3 linked regions of the Struthio camelus genome follow. The protein of the gene in region 2 binds, or shares a complex with, the protein of the main gene of each other region. Links are inferred from orthologs where the notes say so. Each region holds a gene or a part of one and is shown on either strand. Other genes may lie near its edges.

Evidence for each region.
Region 1: the proteins of EIF4A1 (region 2) and PDCD4 are in contact, whole or in part, in a crystal structure (PDB 2ZU6), measured with the Homo sapiens proteins. The link is inferred for Struthio camelus from reciprocal best matches to the Homo sapiens genes EIF4A1 and PDCD4. Residues at the interface, in NP_001407.1 of Homo sapiens: Gln75, Thr109, Arg110, Glu111, Ile135, Gly137, Val140, Thr158, Gly160, Arg161, Asp164, Glu186, Leu188, Ser189, Arg190, Gly191, Phe192, Gln195, Ala214, Thr215, Met216, Pro217, Glu240, Leu241, Thr242, Asn280, Thr281, Arg282, Arg283, Thr329; in NP_055271.2 of Homo sapiens: Pro170, Gln173, Glu174, Glu177, His178, Glu183, Glu186, Met187, Asp190, Leu209, Glu210, Lys212, Glu249, Leu250, Leu252, Asp253, Thr254, Pro255, Arg256, Gly320, Gln321, Gln322, Ser323, Val324, Leu327, Glu348, Lys352, Glu355, Val356, Pro357.
Region 3: the proteins of EIF4A1 (region 2) and KANK1 are in contact, whole or in part, in a crystal structure (PDB 7DDX), measured with the Mus musculus proteins. The link is inferred for Struthio camelus from reciprocal best matches to the Homo sapiens genes EIF4A1 and KANK1. Residues at the interface, in NP_659207.1 of Mus musculus: Lys99, Val140, Arg141, Val144, Gln145, Lys146, Leu147, Gln148, Met149, Glu150, Ala151, Arg168, Arg169, Tyr170, Ser172; in NP_852069.4 of Mus musculus: Gly1168, Asn1169, Asn1171, His1175, Tyr1176, Val1178, Asn1201, Lys1202, Ala1203, Tyr1205, Met1209, Leu1210, Leu1213, Ala1214, Ala1215, Gln1240, Ala1241, Leu1248, Ser1251, His1252, Arg1254, Asp1273, Glu1274, His1285.

The regions. Positions count from the first base shown.
Region 1 is NC_090948.1:12,156,431-12,164,188, reverse strand, and holds the start of PDCD4 (programmed cell death protein 4), read left to right. Parts: upstream 1-4,661; 5' UTR 4,662-4,846; intron 4,847-7,199; exon of another isoform or gene 7,200-7,318; intron 7,319-7,758. UniProt on the Homo sapiens protein: Inhibits translation initiation and cap-dependent translation. May excert its function by hindering the interaction between EIF4A1 and EIF4G. Inhibits the helicase activity of EIF4A. Modulates the activation of JUN kinase.
Region 2 is NW_027182614.1:1,589-8,997, reverse strand, and holds the start of EIF4A1 (eukaryotic initiation factor 4A-I), read right to left. Parts: upstream 3,088-7,409; 5' UTR 3,013-3,087; coding exon 2,990-3,012; intron 1,547-2,989; coding exon 1,498-1,546; intron 1,402-1,497; coding exon 1,269-1,401; intron 1-1,268. Other genes in the region: SENP3 (sentrin-specific protease 3), read right to left, coding at 4,890-5,000, 6,203-6,253, 6,374-6,457. UniProt on the Homo sapiens protein: ATP-dependent RNA helicase which is a subunit of the eIF4F complex involved in cap recognition and is required for mRNA binding to ribosome.
Region 3 is NC_090982.1:9,422,532-9,429,933, reverse strand, and holds the start of KANK1 (KN motif and ankyrin repeat domain-containing protein 1), read left to right. Parts: upstream 1-4,305; 5' UTR 4,306-4,397; coding exon 4,398-4,494; intron 4,495-5,207; coding exon 5,208-7,402.

The sequences.
Region 1 (7,758 bases), on a different chromosome or scaffold from region 2:
GAGTCAGGAAATGAAGGAAAGCAGCTAAGTGACTTGCCTTAGGTCATGCAGTAAGTCGGCGTCAGAGGTGGGAACTCAGCCCCGAACTGCTGACTCCACCGCTCATGCCCTAATGCAAGGCCACACCTCTCCTTTTCTGTGCCAAGCCACCTCCTTTGGGAGCGCAGAGCTGGAGGTAGCACTGGCCCTGCTCGGAGGGTCAGCACAGCCTTGGCAGTGCTCAGGAGGCACCTGGCACTGCTGCCCGGGAGCTGCTCTGTGGCTCAGAGCAGCACCAGTGGCTCCTAAGCCCGTCTCCTCCAAAGGAGCCCCACAGAGTCAGCGGACGTGTTGTTGCAGGCTCTGTCACGCTTGACATTGCAATCTGCTTTGGCGGATGGCACTGTGTGGCCAAGTCCATGGCAGCCAGTGGCCGCTGCTCGTAGGGCAGACCCCCTGAGGGCAAGACCTGGTGCAGTCTGCTGTGGGCGCATCCACCACAGCCTTGCAGCCACCGGGCCGAACACCACTGCTTCAGCCCCCAGTTTCCAGCACGCTCCCTCCAGCTCGCTGGCCATATGCACATGGGGAGACTACGAAGACCTTCCTTTACAGAAGACATTACCAGAGAGCCACTTCAATGTTTGTGCCCCAGAACAAGCTATACAGGGGAGGATCAGGAGTGTTTTTGCCTGTATCACTGCAGCCAGATCGCAGAGTATGCAGGAACAGCCAGGCTGCTACTCACCTGCTCGCCAAGTCCCGACAACAGCAAGGGTGCAGCAACGCAGACTCCAATCCAGGTGGTCCAAGCCTTCCAGGGAACCTAGATATACGTGTAGGCACCTGCAAGGAGATCAGTAATGCACTTCTGAAATGCTATGCTCTTTGGCTGGCTCAGCCGGCTGGGCTGAGATGGATGCATAAGGTGCCAAATCTGCGTGGCTTGCAGCAACAGAGCTGGGAAATTGAAGCCCTTCTACACTGTCACATCTCTAGCTTCCAGTTCAGTTTTGGGACATTGAGACGGTGTGTCAGCACGGAGAAGGCAAGAAGGAGGGACTGAAGAGGAAAAGACATAAGAGAGAGAGAAAGAGGAGAGCAGAAGAGAAAGCGGGTGAAAAGAGATGTGTAGACATAACCCACCATGAGAAAGCCTTGGTTGAGTCTCCTGGCTCTGCTGAGATAGAATGTTTTTTTGGTGAATAACCACAAAAGGTGACCTGCACAGTTATATTTTTACAGTAATCATTTATTTCTAAAAACAGCAGCTAATTGCGTCTGCTCTTTCATTCCGTTTTGCTTATTTTTACCCCAGAAATATCAGGAAAGTCCACTTTTGTCTTCTCAATTTTTTTCTGGAAAATGCAAAATCTGTCTGGTTTTCTAATGACAAACAAAACCCTGCTTAAAACACTACAGCCCTGTGAGCAAGGCAGGTGTGACTGACACAGCTTCAGATTTCCAAGGGACACATTTAAATAAATAACAGAAACTAGTTAGCTTTCCTTAGGAGCTAGGGGATCTATACATAGAAGAGGCTGTCTAAGTTTTACTGGGATAAAACTCCAGGACAGGCAATAAACTGCCAGTTAATTAAGCCTAAGTTCCCTCTGGAGAAAACGCAAGCAAGGGGAAAATCTTGAATGGTGAGACTACAGTTGAATCAATCACAACCTCAGAAATGATACTGAGAATAAAAAGTGATTAAAAGGAACTATTTTAAAAAGCAAAATGACTGATTGGTTAACAAGCTATGTCTCCTAAGTCAGGCAGACTTGAGGCTTCTAGAGGATATTAATATGAATGGGAAAATACTTTTCCTGGATGCACATAGCTGAAGAAAACGGGGAAAGAAAAAGAGAGGTTACTCTACAGTGAGGATGGGATAGAGGCTAGTGTTAAATTAGATGTGTGCAAAATCCAAATTCCTACTTTGCCTTAACTTTCACTGAGGGTGAGGATGTTACTCACAAGGCTGAAGATGAGAGGGATGATGGCACGGGGATATGGAAATGGGCGCAGCCAGGATGGAGGCAAATCTCCAGGAGCCTTCCTGCTGCCAAGGCAGGGGAACGGGATAATCCGCATGCCAGAGCTCTGGAAGAACTAGCCCTAATGTCTAGGGCTAGTTCTGAACCAGATCCCTCTGTTCAGGGACAGAATAGCAGGCACAGGCCTTACATGTAAGAAGCGAGAAGGAACCGATCTGGACAAGAACAGGCATGAAAGTTTCAACTCGGTGTATGGAAGGCTTCACAACAAATTGTGAAGGAAGGGATGGTTAAGGGGAGGGAGGTAAATGGCATGAGATTGAATGGGTTTATCAAATCCATTTATCTTTCTTGGACAAAGTAAGTGATTTGCTTAGTGAAGGAAACGGGGCGGATCTCACCTATCTGGACTTCAGTTACGCATTTCATGTGGTGCCCCGTGGAAAGTTCTTAGGTAAAGAGAGAAGTGATTTAGCACAAGGGTTAAAGCACATTTGGTGAAGACCTGCTGTGAGAGCAGTGCAGGAAAGACTATTAGGTTAGATGGAAGTTATTGGGGGAGTGTTAAAAGATCAGTCTTGGAGATCTGGCATAGTGTTTTTGTAAATGAGCTTGGCCCCAATGTTAATGGAGGACTGGTGAAATTGCTGATGACAGAAAATACGAGGCATCATCAGGACAAAGCAGGCCTGAGATGATACGCAGAAAAAAATGGCTAACTGCAAGAGAGAAATCAGCAGAAAGGGAAGGTCAGAGGCACAGATGACCAAACCCTTTGATACAAGCTGGTTGGCAGCTCACGCTTCACTCACAGAATAACCGAGTTGCCAACAGGATGGAAAAAAGAAAAAAGCTAAACGCAGCCCTAGCACGTGACAGGAAAGCTGCAGACAAGGGCTCCAGTGACGGCTGGGGAATGGAAGGAGAAGTTACCTTGTGGGATTTTGCAAAGTGAACGCTGAGAGCAACAGGATTTCTCTCTGTAAATACATCATGGAAGCGTCTCCCAGGAAGGGAGAGGGAAGAGCTAATGATGCTAAAGGCCAGTGCTGGTACAGGGTAAAGGATCAAAAAGAGGTATCAGACGTTTTCATTAGAAGATTGTTACTAACTGTTTGACAGTCTGGTTCAGGAACAAGCCTCCCAGTTGTTCTCCTGTATGCCAAATACTGAATCGCTTTGAGGACGGAACTCGATAAGTTTATAAAAAGGATTATATCACATGGTGCCTGTGATAGGAGACCCTGTGGCCCAGAAGTTTCTGCCAGTCCTATGCACATAGGTACATATTTTGTAACCCTCTGTCAATATAAATACAGAGGTGTGATTGTACATACACAGAAAAGCAGGCACATGATTTATTAATTCCATATATATCACAGGACCTCAGCTTGTCAAACAATAATTACAAGGCAATAACACACCTTGTTACAATAAATGACTCCCTAAGATTTTCTCCCACAGCAAACCAGGTAAAAAGGACAATTATTCTGAGGGTAAGACAGTATTACGTGCATCTGATTATTAGCTTTCAAATGAACTCACTGTCTGCAATTCTTTACAGCCAAATGAAGTACTCCGTTTTTTTTTTCTGCACATTTGACAAGTTCAGCCCTTTCCAGGAAAATGTCTTTTCAGATGCATGATTGCCTTTTGTTAGGGCAAGAATGAACAGATGACAACTGTAACACAAAGGAGACATGCTTGTGTCAGTTTTACAAAGCAAACCCAATTTTAAACTTTCTGCCGGGAGGGCGTACTCAGAAATATGAAGAGGGAAGGGGTTTTGTGCGCTGTCAGTAGCGAGTCTGGGAAAGACAAGCAAGAGACAGACGCAGGGACAAGCAAGCTGTGGTTTGTCCAAAGCCGTTTCAGTGAGAGGCACTTCAGTTCTCCCACCAAGGTAGACCTGAGCTGATCCCCTTCCATCCCACGGAGATGCCTGCCCTCATCCGCAGGGCAGCCCAGTCCAGAGCTCACGGAGCGAACCGTGGGAAGATGTTCAAAAGCAACTCAAACTAGAGAGCACTAAAAAAGCAAAGGCGGTTTTTAGTAGCCTTTCAACCTGGAGCTGAGGCTGACTGAGGAGGAACGGGATTGCTGTGCTTGCAGTTTGTTTTATGTATGCACCTTGAAGCCAGTGCAGAAGATGCAAAATAACAGTACTTTGAAGGAAAAGAAACCAGAAGGCCAAGAGACAGGCAACTGAACGGAGCAGATTGACTTAACAGATACGATACGTTTTGTTGCTGTCTGCATTATGTGTGGAAATTTATACTCTAAGTGACATAGTAACAGACCAGATTGTAATCAAACAGAACTGCTGAGGTGTCAGGATCACAGATGCTGCCTTTTGAAAATACCTAAAACAGAAAGTAAAACGTTGAAAAGTCCACCGTGGGGAGTACAGTGAAACTGCTCTGTGACATTTCTAACCATTTCTTTCTGCTTTGTATTGGTCTCTCTGGTGCTGGCGGTCTGATGACCTAAGTGAGTAACAACAGCTACAGTTCAAATAAACCTTGATGAAAAGCAAAGGCTGGCAGCAAACTGGCCAGGGCAGCCTGGAGACACGCGGTGTCTATTGTGCGCTAGACACTGGCCGGGGGGGAAGGGCTGCTCCACGCGTTTTGGGGAACTTCAGCCAATGGATTCCTCCCCTGGGTGTTACGGGAGGGCTTGGCCAGCATGTGAGAAAGGGAGGGGAAGAGTTTGAAAACAACCCAGCAGGCTCGAAGGAAGGAAGAAGGTTAGAAAGTGGCCCGCTTGGCTCTGTTCGAGCGTTTCGCTGCAGGTGATCGGCGGCGTTAGGGGCGGCAGGGCAGGAGGAGCCCGCCGGGCGCGGGCCGGCGCCGTCGAGGTCCCGGGCGCAGGTAACCCCGGGCCGCAGGTGTCGGGGGGCTGGCGTAGAGCAGCGCGGCTCGCGTGGGTCGCGCTGAGCTGGGGGTCGGCCAGGAGCTGTCGGAAGAAGGGTTTTTTCCTAAGAATAACTCAACTTGGTCTGAATGATAACTGGGAGGGGAGGAGGGCAACTCTGCTGGTCTGCTTTGATGGGGAATTTGGCGGCGTTTGCTGTTCATACAGCTGGAGGAGGGAGGGAGGCAAGCAGGCAGGGAGCGACTCTGTGCAGCAGCTCAGGGATTAATGTGTGATTTGGCTGATTCCTTTATCTATCACAGGACGTTTTGAGGCTAGAAAGGCAGAAAGAGATGATGTCTTTTATTAGATTGGCTGATAGAGTGGGAAAACACAAACAAGCTCTCATGCACGTACAGCCAAACCTAGATGAGATTTTCAGTGGCTGATATCCAAAGTGCTAAGAGACATTCAGCAGGAGAAAGAAGAAAACACAACTTTTTCTTGTCTGGAGGTGTGCTCGCTGGTTCAGGGTTTTTCATCTTTTTTTGATTAATGACCCAGATTTTGGGCCTCTTGGAAGTGATCCAGTCCTCAATTTTAGCAGAAAATCCTCCAGCAATTTTCCGCAGTGCTTTAAAACATTTAGTAACAATTGGCATGATGCACGGATGTGGTATTTTGTTGTATTTTCTCTTGTGCAGGTTCTTTTTACTGTTTCAATCTGCTGTCTCTGCCATCTCTCCCCTCCTCAGTGCAAAAGCCCTTTAAGGGTTATCTTCTCTCTTACAGGGGGGAGTTAATTCCATTTTATTTGTTAATGGCCTGGATTGACTTTCCAAATTTCAGTAATGTCACTGTGGTGTTTTGCCTTGTGCATGCTAATCAGTGGATGTGCAAAGAGCAAAGTGGAAATTATGTTTTGATTGATGAGAAAACAACATCTTTCAAGGGTGCCTCTAGGTTGCATGTGGAAATAGTCTTGTATGAACATGCTAAACTTCCCTGACTAGAAAATGCCTGGAACTTAGTGTCTTGGTGAACACGAAAGATTTTCTATTATTTGTCTGAGAGGGGAAGTGGTTTTTTCATTACTAAAACATAGCAGTCAAAGAGGATGGCTGAGTAAAAATATCATGCTGCACAGTCTTTTTAGTAGAATATCATTTGTTGTTTTAATTCTTAAACCTGCTTATGATGATTCATGCAGAGCCAGGCCAAAAAATGAATTTACAGGGTCTAATATAGGGAAAGTTTAGCTCTTAATTCAGTCAAATCTACACCTATTCAGCATAGAATTATAGTGGAGTAATATGTAAAAATACTATAAAAGTCAAGTGATAATGTATCAGCTGAGGGGGATTCTCTTGCTGGTAGCTGAAAAATCCTGCAATGCAGGAGTACTAAAGCAGAACTGATCTATGTTTTATTCCCTCGTAGCAGTGAAGTGCTATTGCTTAGGCTCTCAGGGGTGAGAAATTAGAGAGGGAAAATAAGGGATTAGCTGAGGTTTTAGGAGACACTGTGAACGGGGACAAAATATTTGACAAGGAAATGGGACCATCATTTCTAATTAGGTGGCCTTAGGCAGTGTACATAGAATAAACAGGGTAAGGGTAAAGTAATATAAAGTAGAACATTTAGAGGGCTGCGGATGGCTATCAACCCCCTAAATGTGCACTGTGCTAAGGGTTTTAGCAATGAAGACGACTGGCTGCAGCATCTTTTATGGGTCAGCTTCCCTGAAAATGAATGAGTCCCGTCTGCCAAGTTTGAGGCAATTGCGTGGTGTCCTCCTGCCAGGATCTCTAAACTCCTGTCCTGTAACACCGAATACTGCAGACAGGGAGTGGGTACATGGATCCTGTGTGAAGAGGAAACAAAAAGATCTGAAACCCTGGTGTTAGACTAGAATAACATAAAGAAGTAGTAATATTTTTCTGGTGGTTTTGCCTACAAAAAATGTAATGATTCCTAATTAAAGGAGGAGGATAGAGTGCTTGAACAGGAGTCAGGAAGAGCTGTCAAAGCGTCCACATTTCTCTTTCAGTTTTTGTGCAGAACTCCATCTGCCTTGGTGAGGTTTTGTAATTCGACCTGCAAAAGCCCCACTTCGCCCCTTCCCGTTTGCTGCGGGTGGAACTGCTCCCCCACCTTCCAGGCTTTGCCATTTCAGATCTAATCTAGAACCCGTTCAAGGTTTCTGCTGCTAACCGACACTAATGACCCCCTGAAATGACACAAGTCAGGAGATAACGACCAAGTGCACTTTTACGAGTGGGTCGGGGCAACTAATGGTACACAAGGTGGGAAAATGGATCTAGCTGGCCCGCTGCGTGCGTGACGCCCCGAAGGGCACGGCTCCGTGCAGCTGCCCAGGCAACACAGCTTTGCTCCAGCCACCCGGCCAGGTGGGCCGAGCGCAGCTCGGGCAGCAGACGCCGTCGGCAGCAGCGTACGGGGCCCCCTTGGCTCCCGCACCCGTGCAGGTTTATTTCCGCCACCTTTTTTTCCGCGCTGGACATCGCATCCCTCCCTTCCGCGGGTGGGATGGCGTTCACTCGGGAGCCCGCGGCCGGCCAGGCCCGTGGCCCGGGCGGCGGCCGTTGCCGTGACCGGGGAGTGGGGGGGCTGCTGAGGCCGGGGCTGCGCGGTGGGGAGCGAGGCCGTTGCCCCCCTTCCTCCCCCCCCCCCCCGGGGGCGGCTAGCAGCTCCCCGCGGAGCAGCACGTCTCTCCTCAGCGGCCGGGACAGCAAATGGCGCCCCCGGCCTCACCGCAGCAGGTCGGGCGAGGGGGGTGGTGGGGGGGAACCCGCTCCTGCCCCACTCTCCGGCAGGGTATCCCTTCCCCCTCCCCGCACGAATGGTTCCTTCCCGCTCCCCCCCCACCACCACCACCGCGGCTGAGATGGTTTCGCCCCCCCCCCCG
Region 2 (7,409 bases):
GATGCAGGGCAGGAGGGCGCTGCCGGAGGGCCCAGGGGCGGTTTTGGGGCATTTTGGGCGTGTTTGGGGGGCGGGTACCCTTGATGCAGGGCAGGAGGGCGCTGCCGGGGGGCCGGGGGGCGGTTTTGGGGCAGTTTGGGGGTGTTTGGGGGGCGCGTACCCTTGATGCAGGGCAGGAGGGTGCTGCCGGGGGGCGGTTTTGGGGCAGTTTGGGGGTGTTTGGGGTGCGGGTACCCTTGATGCAGGGCAGGAGGGCGCTGCCGGGGGGCCGGGGGGCGGTTTTGGGGCAGTTTGGGGGGGTTTGGGGGGCGGGTACCCTTGATGCAGGGCAGGAGGGCGCTGCCGGGGGGCGGTTTTGGGGCAGTTTGGGGGTGTTTGGGGTGCGCGTACCCTTGATGCAGGGCAGGAGGGCGCTGCCGGAGGGCCCAGGGGCGGTTTTGGGGCAGTTTGGGGGGGTTTGGGGTGCGGGTACCCTTGATGCAGGGCAGGATGGCGCTGCCGGGGGGCCGGGGGGCGGTTTTGGGGCAGTTTGGGGGGGTTTGGGGTGCGCGTACCCTTGATGCAGGGCAGGATGGCGCTGCCGGAGGGCCCAGGGGCGGTTTTGGGGCAGTTTGGGCGTGTTTGGGGTGCACGTACCCTTCATGCAGGGCAGGAGGGCGCTGCCGGGGGGCCGGGGGGCAGTTTTGGGGCAGTTTGGGGGTGTTTGGGGGGCGCGTACCCTTGATGCAGGGCAGGAGGGCGCTGCCGGGGGGCGGTTTTGGGGCAGTTTGGGGGTGTTTGGGGGGCGGGTACCCTTGATGCAGGGCAGGAGGGCGCTGCCGGGGGGCCGGGGGGCGGTTTTGGGGCAGTTTGGGGGGGTTTGGGGGGCGGGTACCCTTGATGCAGGGCAGGAGGGTGCTGCCGGGGGGCGGTTTTGGGGCAGTTTGGGGGGGTTTGGGGTGCGGGTACCCTTGATGCAGGGCAGGAGGGCGCTGCCGGGGGGCCGGGGGGCGGTTTTGGGGCAGTTTGGGGGGGTTTGGGGGGCGGGTACCCTTGATGCAGGGCAGGAGGGCGCTGCCGGGGGGCGGTTTTGGGGCAGTTTGGGGGTGTTTGGGGTGCGGGTACCCTTGATGCAGGGCAGGAGGGCGCTGCCGGGGGGCCCAGGGGCGGTTTTGGGGCAGTTTGGGGGGGTTTGGGGTGCGGGTACCCTTGATGCAGGGCAGGAGGGCGCTGCCGGGGGGCCGGGGGGCGGTTTTGGGGCAGTTTGGGGGGGTTTGGGGGGCGGGTACCCTTGATGCAGGGCAGGATGGCGCGCTGCTGGATGGCCGAGGGCTTCTCGAAGCCGTAGGCGTAGATGCCGCGCAGCAGCGACTCCGAGAGGTTCATGTCGTCGAAGCTGTCCACGATCTCGTTCCAGTTGCTCTGCGGCGGCGGCGGGGGGGGGTCAGGGGGAGGCCTCGGCGGCCGGATCCCCCCCCCCGACCCCCAAAACGGCCCCCGCCGCCCCCCCCCGCTCACCTCGATGACGCCATCGGGGTCCATCCCCTCGGGGCCATTGTCTCGGGGTCTGCCGGGAGGAAGCGGGGGTCACGGCCGTTCCCCCCCGACCCCCCCCGCTCCGCTTCCGCTTGCCCTCTGACCCGGAAGCCGATCCCCGCCGCCTCCCGCCGCTTCCGCCCCGCGCAGGCTCCTCCACGTGGTCGCGGCCTAACTCCCGCCGGAAGTCCCACCCCCTTTTCCCTCCCCTCCATCCCGCGCAGCCCCGCAGCCAATCGGCGGGCCGCGCCGCGGGTGACGTCAGCGCCGCGTGCCCGGCCGGCAGGACAATGGGCGCGAGAGCGCGCGCGGGCGGGGTGGGCTCGCCCGCGGCGGGGAGGGCGGGGGGAGCCGCGGGAGGAACCACGCGCGGAGCGCTGGAGGGAGGGGGGGAACCCCGGCCGCCTTTCTCCCCCCCCCCCCGCGCCCCGATGGGCTCGCCCGGCGCCACCATCGCGGGCGCGCCGCGGGTTGGTGGGGGGGGGGGGTGGGAAGCGGCTCCCACCCCCCTCCCCACTCCGCCCGCGTGGGTGGCCGCCATGGGCGCGCCCACCCGCTCCCCCCTCCCCTCCGCCGCGATGGGCTCGCCCAGGCGCCGCGGCGGGCGCGACCATCGCGGGGGGAGGAGGAGGAGGGCGCCCCCCGCCATGCGGCAAGGGGCGGCTCAGCCGCTGGCGCCGACGGAGACAGAGGAAACCCCCCCCCCTCCTCCTCCTTCCCGGGCCTGGTGGTTCCGCCCAGAGCCCTCAGCCCCTCGCAATCGTGAGGGACCCCCCCCCCCCCGCCGCCCGGTGGTTCCGCCGGGACGGGACCGGCCGGAACCGTGAGGGAATCGCCCCCCCTCAAACCCCCTAGTGGTTCCGCCCGGACGGGACCGGCGGGAACCATGAGGGAATCGCCCCCCCTCAAACCCCCCTAGTGGTTCCGCCCGGACGGGACCGGCGGGAACCGTGAGGGAATCGCCCCCCCCCCCCCGGTGGTTCCGCCCGAACGGGACCGGCGGGAACCGTGAGGGAATCACCCCCCCCCGGTGGTTCCGCCCGAACGGGACCGGCGGGAACCATGAGGGAATCGCGCCTCTCCCCCCCCCCACCCGGTGGTTCCGCCCGAACGGGACTGGCGGGAACCGTGAGGGAATCGCCCCCCCCCGGTGGTTCCGCCCGGACCGGAGGGAATCGCCCCCCCCTCAACCCCCCCTAGTGGTTGCGCCCGGACGGGACCGGCGGGAACCGTGAGGGAATCGCCCCCCCCCCCGGTGGTTCCGCCCGGACCGGAGGGAATCGCCCCCCCTCAACCCCCCCTAGTGGTTGCGCCCGGACGGGACCGGCGGGAACCGTGAGGGAATCGCCCCCCTCCCCCGGTGGTTCCGCCCGGACCGGAGGGAATCGCCCCCCCTCAACCCCCCCTAGTGGTTGCGCCCGGACGGGACCGGCGGGAACCGTGAGGGAATCGCCCCCCCCCCCGCGCCCCTCACCGGCTCTCCTGACTCGCAGACATCCTGGGCAGCGTCGGCGCCCCGCCCGCCCGCGCCCGCCTTATAGCCGCCGCCGCGCCCCGCCCCCGCCGCGCGCCCATTGGCCCGCCGCCGCCGCGCCCGCCCACCGGCTCGGCCCTCATTGGCCCGCCGCTGCCGCCCGCTTGGCCCCGCCTCCTCCCTTCCCCTCCCGCTTCCCCCCTGGGGAGAGGGGGCGCCCCCAGCGCGCATGCGCGCGCGCCCCCCTCCCACTCCCGCCCTCACGGGGCGCCAACGCGCCGCCGGCCGGGGGAGGGGCCACGGGGAGGAAGGGGCGGGGCTAAAGGCGGAAGGGCGGGGCCTCTCCTCCTCCAGCCCCCCCCCACGTGGGCGGCCATGCCGGAGCGCTGGGAGGGGGAGGAGCTTTGTGTGAGCGCCCCTCCCCCACGCCGGGACACCGGGGTCCCTTGGTGGGGGGGGAGGGGTCCCGGACACCTGGGTCCCTTGGGGGGGGGGGACCCGGACACCTGGGTCCCTCTGGGGGGGGGGAGTCGCAGACACCTGGGCCCCTTGGAGGGGGAGGGGTCCTGGACACCTGGGTCCCTTCAAGGGAGAAGGGGTCCCGGACGCCTGGGCCCCTTTTGGGGGGTCCCTGGACACCTGGGTCCCTTGGGGGGGGTCCCGGACACCTGGGCCCTTTGGGGGGGGGCAGAAGTCCCAGACACCTGGGTGCCTTTGGGGGGAGAAGGATCCCGGACGCCTGGGCCCCTTTTGGGGGGTCCCAGACACCTGGGTGCCTTTGGGGGGGGGGGACTAGATGCCTGGGCCCCTTTTGGGGGGTCCCAGACACCTGGGTGCCTTTGGGGGGAGAAGGATCCCGGACGCCTGGGCCCCTTTTGGGGGGTCCCAGACACCTGGGTCCCTTGGGGGGGGGGGGCGGACACCTGAGCCCTTTGGGGGGGGGGCAGAGGTCCCAGACACCTGGGTCCCTTGGGGGGGGGCCGGACGCCTGGGCCCTTTAGAGGGGGGGCAGAGGTCCCAGACACCTGGGTGCCTTTGGGGGAGAAGGATCCCGGACGCCTGGGCCCCTTTTGGGGGGTCCCAGACACCTGGGTGCCTTTGGGGGGAGAAGGATCCCGGACGCCTGGGCCCCTTTTGGGGGGTCCCAGACACCTGGGTGCCTTTGGGGGGAGAAGGATCCCGGACGCCTGGGCCCCTTTTGGGGGGTCCCAGACACCTGGGTCCCTTTGGGGGGGGGGACCGGACACCTGGGCCCCTTTTGGGGGGTCCCAGACACCTGGGTCCCTTTGGGGGGGGGGGACCGGAAGCCTGGGCCCCTTTTGGGGGGTGCTGGACACCTGGGTCCCTTGGAGCGGGGGGGAGGTCCCAGACACCTGGGTGCCCTTGGGGGGGGGGACCAGACACCTGGGCCCCTTTTGGGGGGTCCTGGACACCTGGGGCCTTTGGGGGGGGGGGGGAGGTCCCAGACACCTGGGTCCCTTGGGGGGGGGGGGCGGACGCCTGGGCCCTTTAGGGGGGCAGAGGTCCCAGACACCTGGGTGCCTTTGGGCGGGGGGGGAAGAGACCGGACGCCTGGGCCCCTTTGAGAAGGCGAGGGGCAGACGGGGGAGCGAGGAGGGGGAGCGGAGGCGCTCGGACGCCTGGGTCCCCCGGTGGCGTTGGTGGGGGGGGGGGGGGGGAGTCCCAGGACGCCTGGGCCCCATGTGCCCCCCCCCCCCCGGCGGGGTCGCGGTCCCGGCCCAGGCGGCTCCAAACCGGTTCTTTATTGCCCGACAAGAGTCGCGGCCCCGGCGGCTGTACAAAACCCGCCCCCCCCCCCCCAGAACAGCCCCCCATCCCCGCGGCGGCCTGGCACAGGCGGCGGGCCGGCACAGGCGGCGGGGCGGCACAGGCGGCGGCGTCACACGGCCAGCTTGCAGTGGCAGAGCTCCTTGTACATCTGGCGCCGCAGCTTGGGCATGTCCTGCTGCGTGAAGCTGAACGGCAGCCCCAGCGCCAGGAACTTGCAGTACTGGGGGGGGGAGAGGGGCGTCGGGGGGGGGTCCTCGGGGGGGGACCCCAGGGGGGCACAGGGGGTCCTCGGCCGTCGGGGGGAGCCCCAGCAGGGGCCCCCTGGGGGGGCTCGGGGGAGGCCCGGGGCGGGGGGTCATGGAGGGACCCGGGGGGGCTCCTAGGGGGGCTGGAGGGGGTCACAAGGGAGGCCGGGGGGTCGGGGGGGACCCCAGGTGGTTGAGGGGGTCCTCGGGGGTCAGGGGGACACCAAGGGGGTCAGGGGGAGCCCCAGCAGGGGCCCCGGGGGGCTCTTAGGGGGTTGGGGGGGTCATGGAGGGACCCAGGGGGGGTCCTAGAGGCATTTGGGGGGGTCACAAGGTACACCCGGGGGGTCACAAGGGACCCCAGGGGGTTGAGGGGGTCCTCGGGGGTCAGGGGGAGCCCCAGCAGGGGCCCTGGGGGGCTCTTAGGGGGTTCGGGGGGTCATGGAGGGAGCCGGGGGGGGGGCTCCTAGGGGGGCTGGGGGGGGTCACAAGGGAGGCCGGGGGGGTCAGGGGAGACCCCAGGGGGTTGAGGGGGTCCTCGGGGGTCAGGGGGACACCAAGGGGGTCAGGGGGGGGCCCCAGCAGGGGCTCTGGGGGGTTCTTAGGGGGTTCGGGGGGTCATGGAGGGACCCGGGGGGGGGTCCTAGAGGCATTGGGGGGGGTCACAAGGGAGGTCGGGGGGGGTCGGGGGGGACCCCAGGGGGTTGAGGGGGTCCTCGGGGGTCAGGGGGACACCAAGGGGGTCGGGGGGAGCCCCAGCAGGGGCCCTGGGGGGCTCTTAGGGGGTTGGGGGGGTCATGGAGGGACCCGGGGGGGGCTCCTAGGGGGTGGGGGGGGTCACAAGGGAGGCCAAGGGGGGTCAGGGGGAGGTGAGGGGGGCCCGCGGGGGGGTCCGTGGGGGCCCTGGGGGGGTCATGGGAGGTGAGGGGGCCCGCGGGGGGGTCGGGGGGGCCCTGGGGGGGTCATGGGAGGTGAGGGGGCCCGCGGGGGGGTCGGGGGGGCCCTGGGGGGGTCATGGGAGGTGAGGGGGGCCCCAGGGGGGTCCGGGGGGGCCCTGGGGGATCATGGGAGGTGAGGGGGCCCGCGGGGGGGTCCGGGGGGGCCCTGGGGGATCATGGGAGGTGAGGGGGCCCGTGGGGGGGTCCGGGGGGGGGCACCGGCGCCCCCCAGCCCCTACCTGCAGCACGAAGGCGCCGCAGTCGCTGTCGTTGTTCTGGCGGGCGACGTTCTGGGGGGGGGGGAGAGAAGCAGCCCGTGAAGGGGGGGGGAGAGGGGGCCCAGGCGTGCGGGCGGCCCCGGCGGGGGCCCAGGCGTCCCCTCCGTCCCCCCCCCCCCCGACGGCGCTCACCATCTTGAAGGCGCCCCGCCAGCCCTCGCGGAAGTCCGGCCGCTCCTTCCGGTCGGCCTCGGCCTGCAGGTAGCGGCAGATGTGCTGCCGCGGGGGCGGGGTCAGTGCCCGGGGCAGGGGGCGGGGTCAGCCGGGGCCCCGCCCACCCGGCCCCGCCCACCCCCCCGGAGCGTTGGGAGGGAGGGAGGGAGGGGGAAGGAGAGGGGGTGGAAGCAGCTGGTGTGGCCCCGCCCCCCGCAGGAGGCCCCGCCCCCGGCGCCGAGGCCCCGCCCACCTCGGGGTGGGGGGAAAGCAGCCACTGAGAAGACACGGGGCAGGGCCTGAGCACATGGTGTGGCCCCGCCCCTCCACCGGGCCCCGCCCACCCCAGGAGGCCCCGCCCACCCCAGGAGGCCCCGCCCACCCCAGGAGGCCCCGCCCACCCCACCAGCTATTGGCAGCACGCTGGGGGCTGAAGCACATGGGGTGGCCCCGCCCTCCGGCTCCCAGGCCCTGCCCCCTGCTCCCAGGCTCCGCCCACCCCAGGCCCCGCCCACCTTGGGGCAGCGGCGGTTGAGGGTGCGCTGGGAGTCCAAGGTCATGCATCACCACGCCCCCCACGCCCCGCCCCTGCTCCCGGGCCCCGCCCCCTCGCCCCCAGGCCACGCCCCCTCGCCCCCAGGCCACGCCCCCTCGCCCCCAGGCCCCGCCCACCTCGGCGCAGCAGCGGTTGAGGGTGCGCTGGGAGTCGAAGTAGGTGATGCGCCGGCGCGCCCCCCTCCGCCCCGCCCCTGCTCCCAGGCCCCGCCCCCTCGCCCCCAGGCCCCGCCCCCTGCCCGCAGGCCCCGCCCACCTTGGGGCAGCGGCGGTTGAGGGTGCGCTGGGAGTTGAAGTAGGTGATGCGCCGGCGTGCCCCCCCTCCGCCCCGCCCCCTCGCCCCCAGGCCCCGCCCCCTGTCCGCAGGCCCCGCCCCCTGCCCGCAGGCCCCGCCCACCTTGGGGCAGCGGCGGTTGAGGGTGCGCTGGGAGTCGAAGTAGGTGATGCGCCGGCGCGCCCC
Region 3 (7,402 bases), on a different chromosome or scaffold from region 2:
ATCTATGTTATTGGAGAGCTAGTAGTTTCATGACATCGTCTGTATATTGTTAGCCTGAAGAAACCTGCCAATTGAGTGTGCTGCAAGACTAAGGTTTTTTTTTGCAGCTGGTTTTATAGCTCCCGTAGGAATCCCAACACCTGAAAAGGAGAATGGAAGCATATGTGTTAAATATTCCATTCTGCTTTTTCTTTTTAAATAAGTGGTTGATCTAATGTTTTTTGGTTTCTTTCAGAAAGCAAGGCCGATACTCATGTCTTGAAGAACAGGGAAAAATACATAAAAGTAGTATTGGGAGCTGGGGGAGGAGAAGGGGAAAAGCATCGATTTCTTCTATATTGCAGTAAAGAACCAAAAGGTCAGAGCTCAGTTTTATCCCTTCTTCTCCTGCTCCTGATAACCTTTCAAGCTGAAGTTCAGCATATAAAAATACTGATTCAACTCCATTTCTGCCAGTTATTGCTTCTGTCTTTTTCCTCTGCAACATTCTTTATGATTCTTGTATGCAATAACTCTGGAAGGAGACTGTTACTCATAACGTTATTTCAATGGAAAAGATTTCTTTGGTGGCAGTCAGATTGAAGAGAAAATTGCCTTAGAGAAGATATCATAACCAGATGGGGAGGGAAGGTTTTAGATGTGAGGTCTGTATTTTTCAAGGCACCTTAGACTTAGCTTCAGAGATGTATTTTCAGCTGTTTCTCTGTGCTCTTTCTGGGCCCTCCAAGGCACCATTGCAATAAAACTTTCTCTAGCTTGTAGAACCAATACTCTGTGCCTGCCTCCGTTTGCACTATTTCTTACCTTACTCTCCCTTTTCTCTCCCCCAAAACTCCTTTTTAAGCGCATGAACTAAATGTTCTGTTTTTTTTCCGGTTCTCCTGTTCAGGGAGCAGACATGATTAGCATGGACTCTGGTAGGGCTGATTCAATGTTTTAGTATACTGGTGTTCTTGTGTAGTGCATTGGATAGGATATAATTTAATGGAAGTTGGCAAGACTGGAATGTTTGGACAGAGCCAGTCCCAGCAGCGCAGGAAAAGAGAACAGAAGAGTGCAGTTTTTAAAATGCTGCTTGTGTCCAGTTCATGATTATCATGCAGTACGGAGAGGGAAAGGAAGACTTTGCGTACTTCTGGAGAAATGCGTTGATAGTGACAGTAACACAATGAGCCCGTTATGCTTTGCAGAGTATTTTACTTTGCAGGTACTTAGCCTAAAAAACATAGGTATGTTTGTGTCTCATCGCGTTTGAAGTCATTATACAGCAAAACAGCACTGTGTGCAACATTTGCACAAACAAAAGTGTGTATATCTGTGCGTGTGTGTCTTCACATGTTGTGTTTCAGTGATGTGATTTAAGATTTGCCTGAGGTACAGTAGAGACGCTGAGGAACAGCTCTCCCAGTTTCAGCAGTGCCCATGATGGGCTGTCGGAGGATGAGGCAAGAAGCCTAAAAAGAGCGTTTGTGCTGTCCTGTACTTGCTGCTACTTTTGTGTGCATTGGGGTGAAGGGGATAGGAATCTCTTGCAAGAAGATGCCTTTCTGGCTGAAGGGCAAATAGATACAGCTTCCTCTGAGGTTAATCTGAGGTAGCTGCTTTCTGTATCGCCTGGTACTCACCCACCGAAGCTAGGGTGTTAGGGCATCCACAGGTCATCCAGGACCTAAGGGCTGAAAGCAGAAAGAGCTGTGCTCTTATCAGGTGCTGCACTCATTTCCTTTTTAATAGATTTTTTTTTTCTTTTGGAACCAACAGAACCATTTTTATTGCCTGAAAACAGCCATCCATTTTGCTTTGTTCCATGCTTAACAGGCACACCCATTTTGGCCCTTTCCCTGAGACGGCAAAATGCACAAAGGGTTGGCACTGCTCCTGTGCTCCTGCAGGCTGCATCACAGCTTTCCGTTTGTTGTCGTTAGACTGCATGCCCGATCCTTGTTTGTCTTCGGTATCAAGGAATGGCTCCAAAGATCAGCTCATAATACCAGGATTGTGTTGATGGAGTGTTCTTTGTATTGTTTTAAGGAGAAGTAGTGTGCAATCCACTTCACACAGAATCTCATGGTTGTGGAGCAGTGGATATGAACTGCGTCCTGGCAGTGCTGCCAGCTAAAGCTAAGGACAGAAAGGATTTCATTGTGAAGACACTTAAATGCCTGCAGGCGTTACAGAGGTTTAGTAAAGGATTCAGTGTGTCTATATGTGTTTTAATTATATATTTCTGATGGGCTTCTGTTGAGCAATGTTAATGCTATTTCATGAAAAAAAACAATTATGTGAGATTCCAGTTTGGCTCTCATGACTTAGCATGAGATTTGCATGTCTTTTTAGAAGTTTTATGAATAATTTTTTCATAGATGCATTAATTTGTGAGTCCTGGGACTTCCCAAGTAATTTGTTTCTCCCTCCCACATCCAACACTTAAACACTGTGCCCAAGGCCAGCTTAGAGGAGCTGCCTGACCTCCTTGGTGTTGGGATGGGAGAATCGGCAATAGGAAGACAAGGACTGAGACGAGCAGAGAGCTGGGGAGAACGGAGGAGCAGGTAAAATCGGCATGGTGGAGCTAGAAACTATATGGGCTGGGTGAAGCCACTAGAAGAAAGCCCAGGATGAGGGCTGAGGACGTAGCGAGATTTTGGGTTAGAATTAGTGGAGCAGGTGAATGAAGAAGGGAGACTGGAGACGACAGAGGGTGAGAGCAGGGGTACAGCTGGGATGGGGAGGGGAAGGAAGGGAGACCCAGCCTTGGGCGAGGAGCTGTGGGGTTCGGAAAACAGCGCCGGTTGTCTGAGGAGCCCGGGAGTAGAGCAATGAATTTGGGGAGGAAGAGGAGTTGAGTAGAAAAGTACACTCTGTCTCGTTCAGAAACAAACAGACTTCTCCCCTGTCCAAGCCTGAGGCAGTCCTGCAGGAGAGGACTATGTGCTCATATGTTCTTAGAATAAGTAGGTGTAAATGTATTTTTGCTTCCATGTTGGTATTTAGGCGGCTATTTCGGGTGCATCTATAAGTAAATACCGCGGCATACCAGGACCCTGGTCTTTGAGCAGAAACATGCGGTCCGTGGGGGGGTTGTTTGTGTCTGCCGAAGAGCCAGCCCGCACGCTGTCACATGCAGGATTGAGATACCGATGTGTTCAAGTCAGCCCCGCTTCTTTTACCGTCGTGCCATGCCTGCCCGCTGTCCACGCTGCCGTCCCGTTCTTTCGCAGTGCCGGGGTAGGCGCGTTTCCCCCAAGCATCATCCTGCGGCTTGGGGTGTCCCGTGGTAGGCAGAAGCGTGAAGGATCACTCTGAAAGCAACTGTGTTGTATGTAGACAGGGCTTTTCTCAAGCATGGCCAAAGAAACTGGAAAAACAGGAGCCTTTCTTTTTTTTTTTTTCTCCCCTCCCCTAAACCTTTTCAGTGCAACATTAAGTCACTTCCTGCAGATGCAATAAGGGGGGGGAGGTTCTGTCTTTTGAGGCTTATATTCCTGTAAGAGGACACGACTTTCAAACCTAGCTATTTAAAAACAGAGCAGAAAGCTAAATTTGTGTTCAGATACTTAGCTGCCTACTACATCCTGCATGTCTTTGCGGAGGAAACACGGATGTGGAGCCAGTTTAGCTCAGTGGATTATACGGGCAAATGCAAGAGCGTCTGTGTATAAAAACTGCTGCATCCACTTGCCCCGGAGACAGAGCTGCTGCTTTTAAGGAGGAGCAGAAAGCCAGGAACATGTGCAACAGACAGACAGATTTATACAAATGATCTTTTGCTGTTTGCTGGGGAGGGGAGGGGCGCGGGAAGTGGCAGGGGTGGAGGATACTGCACCTTTAAAATATTAACTGTTCGCTTACCGCGGAAATGGACGAGCGTGTTGGACAGCTGAGGACCTTAGGAGGAGGAGAAGGCAGTGCTCACCAGCCCTGGTTGAAACCAAACTCATTGGAGAAAGCTCAGCCTATGAAATGGTGTGCCGTGCTTGGCTGAGTTTACACTAATGTGGGCTTTTTTTTCCTTATGGGGTGAAGAATGAGAGAGTTGAGAGGCAGGGCTTTGGTGAGCCGAGAGCTTGTTTATGACACATGAAGCTGGGACCGCGCGGAGAATTACCGGAGGCCTAGTAATACGTGGCTGGAAAATTTACAGTGTGGGGGCAGAGGCATGTAGCTAATTCAGGTAACCGGAAAGCTGGCTTTTATTATTCCTCCTGCTGCTCAAATGTACCCAGCTCCTCTAATAACTTGTGGCAAGTTCTGTTGTGTGGTGGTGGTGGTGGTGGTGGTGGGGTGTTCCCCCCCTGCCAAATGGGACAAGAGAAACAGGTTATATAGTATTTAAATCTTCTGCCTGCAGAAGCCCGGGAGATGTGGTGAAGTTTTATTTAGATTGCGCTGGAGACATGCGAGTGCTGTGTCTGGGGGACGTCCGAATTTCCCTGACATCCGAGACGACGGTTTCTCTTTTGGTGGTGGAATTCGAGACGCGGCTGGAAACAGGTCCAGCTGCATATTTTTAGTGTGTGGGCTCCATGCAGGTTGGGAGTATAAGAGACAGAGCCGCTGGTCGAAGTAGTGTGATCTCAAGCAAGAGCGAGCTGATAATGCTGCTCTTACGGCAGCAGTTTGCAAAGCAATAAAATAACTGTAGATCAGTTTAAAGTCTACTGGCATTGATAGCTTAAGGAGGGGGGTTGGGGTTGGGTAGCCTGTTTTAATGTACCCTCTGGAGAAGTCGGTCTCTTAGATGATTCACGGCAATACACTGTAATCTTTCTATGACAGCTTAGCATGCGTGCAAGCTTGATGTGACGCGGAAATACTGGAGGGATTTGTGGAAGTACAGTTTGTGCTATGGGCTGTGCCACGTCTCTGCCTCTTTATTCATAAGGTTATCAGTGTGTGCGCATATATTTACACACGCACGTGTATATATATGTGTATGTGTATATATATACATATATATGTACACACACACATATATATGTGTGCACCTTTCAGTATTTGCAGTCCTACTGATTAACTTTGGAAAAGTTCATTGGGATTTTGTGTTACAGGTAGATCAGCAGAATGGTCTGCTTTCTGGGCTGTAACAGCAGCTTTTGCCTAGCGGTGTGCTGTGAGCACCCTTGTCTGTACACTCGTGTTTCAGTGCATAGCCTGCTGAGACATAGTTTCTTTTCCACTTACTGATTTTGTTTCTCCTCCTGCAGAAAAAGAGGAAGCTGTTATAAATGGAGAAGATGAAAAAGAACGGAAAGACCCCTATTTTGTGGAAACACCTTACGGCTACCAGCTGGACTTGGATTTTCTGAAGTACGTGGACGATATACAAAAGGGGAATACCATTAAGAAATTAAACATCCAGAAGAAGAAGAAAGCGGTACCTGCTTCTGCAGGCACCAGGAACCCTGGTGGCCAGGGCAGTGGCTGGACCTCCACCGAGTCTCTCTCGTCATCGAACAGTGATGAGAATAAGCAGTTGTGTGCGGCAGCTAGGAGTCAAGTATCCCCATCTGTCGCTGTGAGACCATCAGTTTCCTTCGAAGCATCTCCTTCCTACTTAACTGTCCCCGAGAGCAAGCAGCTTCCTCCTCCCTCCCCCCAGCTTCCCCAGCACAACCTCCATGTGACAAAAACGCTCATGGAAACGCGGAGACGACTAGAGCAGGAGAGAATGATGCAGGTCACGCCAGGAGAGGTCCGCAGGCCCCGGCTCTCCAGCTTTGGGGGCATGGGCTCAACGAGCTCCCTTCCCTCGTTCGTAGGATCCAGTGGGTACAGCCACATGTCCCAGCAGCTTCAAAACGGGTATCAAGGTAATGGAGACTACGGCGCCTGCTTCGGCTCCTCGCTGGGCAGTTCCATTCGCCACAGCCCCCTGAGTTCGGGAATATCCACGCCGGTGACCAATGTGAGCCCGGTGCATCTGCAGCACATCCGGGAACAAATGGCGATTGCCCTGAAGCGTCTCAAGGAGCTTGAAGAGCAAGTCAAAACCATTCCTGTGCTCCAGGTCAAAATTTCAGTGTTACAAGAAGAGAAGAGGCACATGATGGCAGAACTCAAGAGCCAAAGGAAACCCAGTCAAAACGACATGTATGGTTTCAGGAAACGATCTTACAGTGCAGGAAATGCGGAACAGTGGGAACATCTGTCTCAGGTCAGAAGAGGTGGAGAATTGTATATAGATTGTGAGGAGGACATGGAGAGCATGGAGCAGAGCTCTCAGAGGATAGAGGAGTTTAGGCAGCTGACTGCTGAAATGCAAGCGCTGGAGAAAAAAATCCAGGATAGCAACTATGAAATTCCAGCAAATCTTAGGGTGAACAGAGAGAGCCTAACAAAAGAGAGCAGATCTGTTGCTGTTGGTGCTGATGAAAACATGAACGATGTCGTTATATACAACAGATCTTTGAGGCAACACAGAGAAGTAGCCGTGGGAACAGAGAAAGAAACGAGAGAGTCCGGGGTCGGGGTGACGGAAGCCATGCTTGGCTTGTCTACAGAAGTTGAGAAGGAGCTAGAGCTTCAGCAGCAGACTATTGAAGCCCTGAAGGAGAAGATCTATAGACTAGAAGTTCAGTTAAAGGAAACTACCCATGACAGGGAAATGACCAAATTAAAACAGGAGCTGCAGGCAGCTGGATCTAGGAAAAAAGTGGATAAAGCCTTGATGGCTCAGCCCGCTGTCGTCAGCAGAATGGTGGAGGCTGTGGTACAAACAAGAGACCAAATGGTGGGCGATCATGTGAACGTTGCTGATTCGTCTGTGGGGAACCACCTACAAGTGAGCAGTGTTGGCACCTCCTGCAGGCCTGTCGTACAGAGCACAGCGGTGGGCCCCGAGCTGCTCATGAATCGGTGGCTTGTGAAGGAGAAAGCAGAAGTGCGAGACCAGTGCACGGGAAGATCTGTTGAGGTGTACGATAAGAAGGTGGGTGTAGAGACAAGTGTCTGTGAAACAGGTGTCAACACAGAGGAGTCCGTAGGCGACCTGAGTCTCTGCAAGACGGAGCAGAAGATCAGAGAGGTGAGGTCAATAGGCTGCGGGGACTGTTCAGTGGATGTGATTGTTTGCGCCCCGAAGGAGTGCGTGTCCCGTGAAACGGCCACAGAGGCTGTGTGCAGAGCAGAAGCCACAGTCATGGCCATACCTTGTACAGCTACCCAGCAAACCAGCACGGTTTTGGAAATGATGAGCCAGTGCACCAGTACAGAAGCAGCCTCTCTGACAGACTGCGGCACAAACACTGCTCTGAGCAGTTACGATAAGCAGACCAACACTGTGAACGTGGAGACGCGGACTGTGGCGGTAGGAGATGGCAGGGTAAAGGATGTAAACGTATCTGCTAAAACCCGTTCGGTTGGAGTGGGAACCTTGCTTTCCAGTTACCCGAGCTTTGAA